Linked DNA regions of Macaca fascicularis. The protein of the gene in region 1 purifies or fractionates together with the protein of each later gene. This does not show direct contact. Links are inferred from orthologs where the notes say so. Each region holds a gene or a part of one and is shown in the gene's direction. Other genes may lie near its edges.

The links.
Region 2: the proteins of WWP1 (region 1) and SMAD6 purify together in Homo sapiens (affinity purification with western blotting; 3 studies listed by BioGRID, with this or other methods). This does not show direct contact. The link is inferred for Macaca fascicularis from reciprocal best matches to the Homo sapiens genes WWP1 and SMAD6.

Annotation. Positions count from the first base shown.
Region 1 is NC_088382.1:96,182,163-96,185,971, forward strand, and holds part of WWP1 (NEDD4-like E3 ubiquitin-protein ligase WWP1), read left to right. Parts: intron 1-1,917; coding exon 1,918-1,972; intron 1,973-2,327; coding exon 2,328-2,412; intron 2,413-2,536; coding exon 2,537-2,665; intron 2,666-3,809. UniProt on the Homo sapiens protein: E3 ubiquitin-protein ligase which accepts ubiquitin from an E2 ubiquitin-conjugating enzyme in the form of a thioester and then directly transfers the ubiquitin to targeted substrates.
Region 2 is NC_088381.1:43,376,405-43,380,826, forward strand, and holds the start of SMAD6 (mothers against decapentaplegic homolog 6), read left to right. Parts: upstream 1-1,522; 5' UTR 1,523-2,497; coding exon 2,498-3,314; intron 3,315-4,422. UniProt on the Homo sapiens protein: Transforming growth factor-beta superfamily receptors signaling occurs through the Smad family of intracellular mediators. SMAD6 is an inhibitory Smad (i-Smad) that negatively regulates signaling downstream of type I transforming growth factor-beta.

The DNA of each region.
Region 1 (3,809 bases):
ATATACATACATAAAAAGTAATACATATAGCTTTGGTTTTGGTTGGACTTACCTGTACACTTGAAAACCTTTGGTGAACAGGGCAGAATGAGGTAACAGATGCGTATCAGAAGAATGTTATCTTGCAAGTAATAGAATCTCCTTAAACACATTGAGGTTTAATTATCTCAGTACAACATCAGGTCTGGGGTAAAAGTCTAAGTGCTGCATTGACTCAGTAGTGTCATCAAGGACCTGGGTTCTTTCTGCCTTTATGCTCTGCCATCCGTATCACACTTCAGGCCTTTTACTTCGTTTATATGGAACTCTACACTGTGGGCCTCACATCCATAGTCTAGGCAAGAAGAAAGAGAAAGAGGAATTGAAAGGGCAGATGGCTCTGTTGTTGCAAGCCCTTGCCTTTTTTACTTAGTGAAGGATGCCCTTACCATGGCCTCTGCCTATACTTCACTGGCCAGAATTGTTCACTCTACCAGCTCAGCTGCAAGGGAAGGGGGATGGAATGATCTTTATGGCCACGTTTCTACCTCCAGCAAAGCAGGGATTTGGTTCTCAAGAACAGGTGGAAGATAAATATTGAGTATAATTAACAGGGTCTGTTACAAGATTATATTCATCAAGATGCATTTACTTTAAGAAATTATTTTTCAGGTAATTATTTTTACATTTGTCATTATTATAAAATTCTTGATAGAATGCTTATATTTTCCTCAGAATATATTTCTAGGTTATAATAAGAATGGAGGCATACATAAAAATGTGTTTTTATGTATGCATGAAAATATAAAAGATACTAATTAAAAGTTTATTTCTATAAATGGTACTGGAGTTGAGTGTTAGTTTTATTAGTGGGCATTTGTTTTAAAGAAAATTGTGATAATTGGTCTATTTTTAAACAAATAATATTGCCTCATTTAAACATCAATTTCCTGTATGTTCTTCTCCCATTTCATCTTCCCTCTATAGTTTAGTATGGAAGGACTGGGAGAGTAAAGTACTGATGCCAGTGTATTATTTTCAAATCATTTTAGAAAAACTAATAATTAATTTGATTAGTTGATAGTCTCCTCTTCATGACGTTTTATGAGCTTTGTGTCTTGGCTGGGAGTGGTGGCTTACACCTGTTATCCCAGCACTGTGAGAGGCCGAGGCGGGTGGATCACGTGAGCCTCGGAGTTCGAGACCAGCCTCAGAAACACGGCAAAACCTTGTCTCTACAAAAAATACAAATATTAGCCAGGTGTGGTGGTGCATGTCTGTAGTCCCAGCTACTTGGTGGGGCTGAGGTGGGAGGATTGCTTGAGCCTGGGAAGCAGAGGCTGCTGTGAGCTGAGATCACACCAGTACACCCTAGTCTGGGTAATAGAGCAGGAAGATCCTGTCTCAAAAAAACAAAGAACTTTGTGTCTTGAAATTGCTACATTTCCTTATTATGTAGATCGATCGATCGATCTATCTATCTATCTATCTATCTATCTATCTATCTATCTATCTAATAATATAGATCTATTTTTGAGATAGCTTCTTGCTCTGTTGCCCAGGTTGGAGTGCAGTAGTAGTGTGATCACAGTTCACTGCAACCTCCACCTCCTGGGCTCAAGTGATCCTCCCACCTCAGCCTTCCAAGTAGCTGGGACTTTAGGCAAATGTGCCAACGTGTCTGGCTAATTAAAAAAAAATTTTTTTTAATAGAGACAGGGTCTTCCAGGCTGGTCTTGAACTCCTGGGCTTAAGTAATCCTCCCACCTTGCCCTCCCAAAGTGCTGGGATTACAGGCGTGAGCCACTGTGCCCAGCCCCTTATCATATTTTTAGAAAATTATTATAAAATGTGATTCTGCCATGCACTTGGCTTATTTCCACTTCCATATTAAAATACTGTTATTTTATTTCTCTCCCCAATCTTTTCTCCAATCAGGCCTCAATGTTAGCTGCAGAAAATGACCCTTATGGACCTTTGCCACCAGGCTGGGGTAAGCCGTTATGTTTTTGCTAATGATCCGTAAGGGAGATATATATATCTCCATATATATATCCCTTATTTTATATGTATATCTCCCTTATATATATCCCTTAATATATACCCCTTATAATATATAATATATATTATTATTTATATAATATATAATTATTTATATAATATATATTATATATAGAATAGATTATATATTGTATATATTCTATAAGACATATAAGTGATACATATATCCCTGATATATTTTTTTATATATTTATATATAATATATAATATATAATCATATATATATTCCTTATTTTATATATAGATCCCAAATAGTTATTAAATATTATGGTCACTTTATATTTCAGAGAAAAGAGTGGATTCAACAGACAGGGTTTACTTTGTGAATCACAACACAAAAACAACCCAATGGGAAGATCCAAGAACTCAAGGGTATGTATATACAGCAGCCTTAAATCATCTTGCATATATCTGTAGGTAGAATCAACCAACCTTGAATGAGATATTTTTAGTACCTAGAAAATGTTCATCTTGTGATTTTAACTTTATCTTTTAGCTTACAGAATGAAGAACCCCTGCCAGAAGGCTGGGAAATTAGATACACTCGTGAAGGTGTAAGGTACTTTGTTGATCATAACACAAGAACAACAACATTCAAAGATCCTCGCAATGGGAAGTCATCTGTGTGAGTGAAAACCTGAGGTTCTCCTTTAAATGTTGCTTAGTGAGCACATGAGAGTTAGTCTCTAACTTATCCTCAAGTTTAGAAAAATATTTTACTTTTTGGTTCAAGAAAACCTACACAAGTGATACGTTAGTATAGCTGTCTTTGCTCTCATTTGACGATGGATTTGCAGCATGTCATTCCTTAATAATAGCAATGGCAACTATTTATGTAGTGATTACTATGTGCCAAGGATTGTTCTAAGTACTTCATAGGTATTAACTCATTTTATCTTCCAATAACCCCTTGAGGTAGATACTATTATTTTTCTCTTTACCAAGTGAGGAGAGATACAGGGAGTGTAACTAACTGTGCAAAGTTATAAGGCAAGTAGTGGAGCTGGTTTCTAACTATGACAGTCAGTCTGTCTCTTGACTCTGTGCTCTTAACTGCCACATGACACTGCTGCAATGAGATGGTCAGTGAAATGATTTTCCAAATTTAAAGATAACTGAATTAAGCAGTTGACAGATGTCTCCTTCATTCTTACTCTAAGGTGTAATGTCTTTGCATAACTAAGAAAGTAGAAGCAATCATAAAAGGTCTTTTGCAAATTTGTACCACCATATCTGTGCATCTCCTACCACCTCTCCTCCCTCCTGTTCTGTAGATGAACTGTCATTGTTATTATCAAAGTCTGCTCCCTCTGCTGGTACATTCGATTCCTACCACCACTTTTCTACTTAATTGCTCCAACAGTTACCACCTTTGTCTTGAATTATCAGGTTTTATTTCTCCACTAAATTATTCTTATCAGCTGTTATTTCTCCTAGATTTTAAAAAAAAAAGCAAAAAAAAAATTACAACTCTACCAAACCAATGTGTTCGATTACACAGTTCATTTGTGTGTGTGTGTTTTTTTTTTTTTTTGAGATGGAGTTTCGCTCCTGTTGCCCAGGCTGGAGGGCAATCAATGATGTGATCTCAGCTCACTGCAACCTCCGCCTCCTGGGTTCAAGCGATTCTCCTGCCTCAGCCCCCCGAGTAGCTGGGATTACAGGCACCCGCCACCATGTCCAGCTAATTTTTGTATTTTCAGTAGAGATGGGGTTTTGCTATGTTGGCCAGGCTGATCTCAAACTCCTGACCTCAGGCGATCCACCCG
Region 2 (4,422 bases), on another chromosome or scaffold:
ATCTTTCGTTCGGGGAGCAACCGCCACTCCCAGAGAGCGCAGCGCGAACAGTACCTGGCTCCAGGTAAAGCTCAGCAAATGGTTCTGAATCCTCCTTGCAAATGCCACCCTTCCCCCAGCGCACACAGCCTCTGGGCACGGCCGGGGATTCGCACCGCCGCGCACGCCACAGACCAGCCCCACGCGTGGCCACCCTCCAGGGAGACCCGCTCGCCGGCGCCCCGCGGCCACCGCGGGAGAATGGCGCCCAGCCCCGGGCCAATGAGAGTAGCGGAATTTCTTTCATTCAGCGCGGGGCCAGGCTCCTGCCCGGAAAGGGGCGGGGCGCCGCGCCGGGGGTGGGGCCGCCGAGAGCGGGGGGAGAGGGCGGTGCCGGCCCCGCGGCCTGGCCAATCGGCGCCGCGCCCGGGGGGGGAGGGGGGCCCAGGCCTTTTTTCCCCTCCGCGCGGGACCAATCCCGACTTTACAAGCTTGAACTTTTGCCACCCTCGGACGAGCTAGCGCGCCCGAGGAGGTACCCCGCCGCGCCGGCTCCAGGGGCAGGAGCGGCCTTAACCCTTCCCGCGCCAGGCGTCAGGCTGCTGCCGCCGCGCCCCGGATCCCGCCCCCAACTCACCCTAATTTTCGCATGGAAACCTCGCTAGGGAAAGCGTGATCCCTCACCTACAGCCCTCTCCGAGGTGCGGAGAGTAAACTGGAGAGGGGAGAGGAAGCACCCAGCCTGGAGGCGGCCCGGCCGGCCGGCGGCCCGCCTCGCTCCGAGGGAGGGCCGTGGCGACCGAGAGGAGCCAGCGAGTAGACACTCCCCGCCTCTACACCACCCTCTCCATCTCTCCACTCGGGGCGAGCCTGGAGCCACCGTGCGCAAAGCGCCCTAAGTTCCCTGTTTGGCCCGGCAGAGCGACCCCCAACTTTGTGCAAGGAGCGTAGAGCCCCTCGTGCAGTCACGGAAGATCCGCTACCCCAACATATCCGCCGCCCCCTGCTCCTCAGGCTCAACCCAGGAAGGCACACACGCACACCCATTTTTATTAGCCTGCCCTGGGATGGGGGTTTGGAACAACTGTAAAGTGCAAAGTGTGTTTATAAGTTTGTGCACAAGCCAGGGAGAGGCAAAGCGCCCCGCTTGCGTCCGAGTCTCAGTGGGTCCGCCGAGCCTCGCGCGCCTGCCCGTGGCTCATGTAACCCTGTGTGTATGTGTGTGTGTGTGTCCGCGGGCGCGTGTGTGCTCGCTCGCATCCGTGCCCTGGGCACAACGCGAGGCAGAAAGCGGGCCGCGGGAGCTGTCAGGCCCTGGGCGGGGGTGCCGGGGCGGTGTGGGGCGGGGGCCAGAGCTCGGCCCGCCCCGGGAGCCGGCCCCTTGGAGCCTCCGGCCCTGCAATGGGACGTGTTCTCCTTTAAGAGTTAAGAAACTTGAAACCTTGTTTGCGCAACAATCAGCGCCGCGGAGCCGCCAAAGTGTCTAGACTGGCATATGATGGGAGTCAGCCAATGACTCCGCGGCGCTCCTCCGGGGGCCCTCAGTGTGCGTTTGAGGAGAACAAAAAAGAGAGAGCGAGCGGAGCAGGGGAGCGATCGAGGGAGCCGATCCGAGAGAAAGAGCCGCTGGGCGCTGCCTCGCCAGACCTCGCTGGGACCCCGGGGCCGCCGGGAGGCACTTTTGTGGAGGGGGGAGGGGGGGCGACCTCGGCAGCGTCGGCGCACGAAGCGTCCGAGGGCAGCGTGGGGCGGGCTGCGACCTCTGCCTCGGTGGACTGCATTTTTAATTAAGGATTCCCAGCAGCTCTTTGGGATTTTTACAGCTTCCACTCATGTGTTGACACCCGCGTCCAGGAGAAACTCGCTCCAAGTGCATCTAGCGCCTGGGACCTGAGACGGCGTTGGCCTTTCGTGCATGCAAATCCAGGGATTTAGGTTTTGTTTGGGATTTCCTTTTCTTTCTTTCCTTTTTTTTTTTTTTCTTTTTGCAGGGAGTAAGAAGGGAGCTGGGGTTATCAACAAGCCTGCCTTTCGGATCCTGCAGGAAAAGCCCATGTAGTTAAGCGCTTTGGTTTAAAATAAGGCAGGGGAAAGGGAGGGCTTTCCAAACACATTTGGGGGTTCGCGCGAGCGCTTTGTGCTCATGGACCAGCCGCGCAACTTTTGAAGGCTCGCCGGCCCATGTGGGGTCTTTCTGGCGGTGCGCCGCCTGCAGCCCCTTAAAGCGCGGGGACTGGAGTTGTTGAGCAGCCCCGACGCTGCGGTCCATGTAGCCGCTGGCCGCGCGCGGACTGCGGCTCGGCGTGCGCGTGTTCCCGGCCGTCCCGCCTTGGCGAGCTCCCTCATGTTGTCGCCCTGCGGCGCCCCTTCGACGACAGGCTGTGCACGGTCTGCACGGCGCTCCGCGGCGGAGCTTCATGTGGGGCTGCGACCCGCGCAGCCGGCGCCTCGCTGAGGGAACGGACCCCCGGTAACCGGAGACCGCCTCCCCCCCACCCCTGGCGCCAAAGGATATCGTATGTTCAGGTCCAAACGCTCGGGGCTGGTGCGGCGACTTTGGCGAAGTCGTGTGGTCCCCGACCGGGAGGAAGTCGGCAGCGGCGGCGGTGGTGGCGGCGACGAGGATGGGAGCTTGGGCAGCCGAGCTGAGCCGGCCCCGCGGGCAAGAGAGGGCGGAGGCTGCGGCCGCTCCGAAGTCCGCCCGGTAGCCCCGCGGCGGCCCCGGGACGCAGTGGGACAGCGAGGCGCCCAGGGCGCGGGGAGGCGCCGGCGCGCAGGGGGCCCCCCGAGGCCCATGTCGGAGCCGGGGGCCGGCGCTGGGGGCTCCCTGCTGGACGTGGCGGAGTCGGGAGGCCCGGGCTGGCTGCCCGAGAGTGACTGCGAGACGGTGACCTGCTGTCTCTTTTCGGAGCGGGACGCCGCCGGCGCGCCCCGGGACGCCAGCGACCCCCTGGCCGGGGCGGCCCTGGAGCCGGCGGGCGGCGGGCGGAGTCGCGAAGCGCGCTCGCGGCTGCTGCTGTTGGAGCAGGAACTCAAAACGGTCACGTACTCGCTGCTGAAGCGGCTCAAGGAGCGCTCGCTGGACACGCTGCTGGAGGCGGTGGAGTCCCGCGGCGGCGTGCCGGGCGGCTGCGTGCTGGTGCCGCGAGCCGACCTCCGCCTGGGCGGCCAGCCCGCGCCGCCGCAGCTGCTGCTCGGCCGCCTCTTCCGCTGGCCCGACCTGCAGCACGCAGTGGAGCTGAAGCCACTGTGCGGCTGCCACAGCTTCGCCGCCGCCGCCGACGGCCCCACCGTGTGCTGCAACCCCTACCACTTCAGCCGGCTCTGCGGGCCAGGTGAGCGCGCTGCGCCGGCCGGCGGGGCCCTGGCTCCTGGTCCCCGTCCCCTTCCTTGCCCTTCTCTCTGTGACACTGCGGGTCGGCGCAGCTGCGGGTGCTCCCCCGGGTGCCCTTGGAGCGTGGTAGCCACCAGGAGAGGCGCCTTAGCCCAGCCGAGGGGAGTGGGTATCCCAGCACACACCTCAAGTGGCAACTTTATCTCAAGTCTCCGGTAAACTTAAAAGGGTACACGTCGTAGTTTTCTCTGTGCAGTTTCAGGGACATGATGTAGGCTCCAACTTCATAGGCAGTGAAAGGGGAGGGCAGGCCAAGGAGAGACCAAAGAAGTAGGTACTATTTCCTCCTACCTCAATTCCGGAATCTACCCCAGTCTGTACCCAGGCTTCTAGCATTTGTATGCAAGTGCCCTTACCCATACTGTGCTTTTCTATGTCCAAGCAGCTTTAAGTTGTGAAATTGGGTGTACACAAATCATAGCTAGAATCAAAAGTCTTCGTCAAATGCCCAATTTGTGCCTTTGTATACTTTCGACAAAGCTTTGCAGGGTAATCCCTCTCTGGAGTAAAGAGCACCGTCTTTATTCCCCACGTATAATCATTCCCCACATCCCCTTGGGTGTCAAGTGCCAGGGTCTTCCATAGTCCTTCTCAACTTTTGTTTTCAGCTTTTGTATAGAGTTTAGGGTCTTGGTGGCATCTGTGAGTAGTTGAAGAAGCCAGATACTCGTTTACCTCTGAGAACTGCCCCCCTTCTTTGTTCTCCTCTTGGGATTTCCTGCACACACCCCACCCTTAGCCTTGCTTACCCGGCTAGGCCCTGGTGCTCAGGTGCAGACAGGCGGAGGCTCCAGCAGGTCAGGAGCCTCCAGCAGGCCAGGAGCTTGCACTTACTTGCCTTGCTCTGACCTCTGCCTTGTGGGGAACACACATTTTAGCCTGTAGCTAGCCTCTGAGGGATGTATGGGAATCCATCAGGTGACACTGGGGTTTTGCAGGGGTGGGACTGGCAGGGAGTCACAGGCTCTTGAGCCTGGGAGGGCTATGAATCCCTCCATTCTGGCTTCCCTGGGGAGAGTCAGCACCCAGGCTGGGAGCACAGAGAGGGT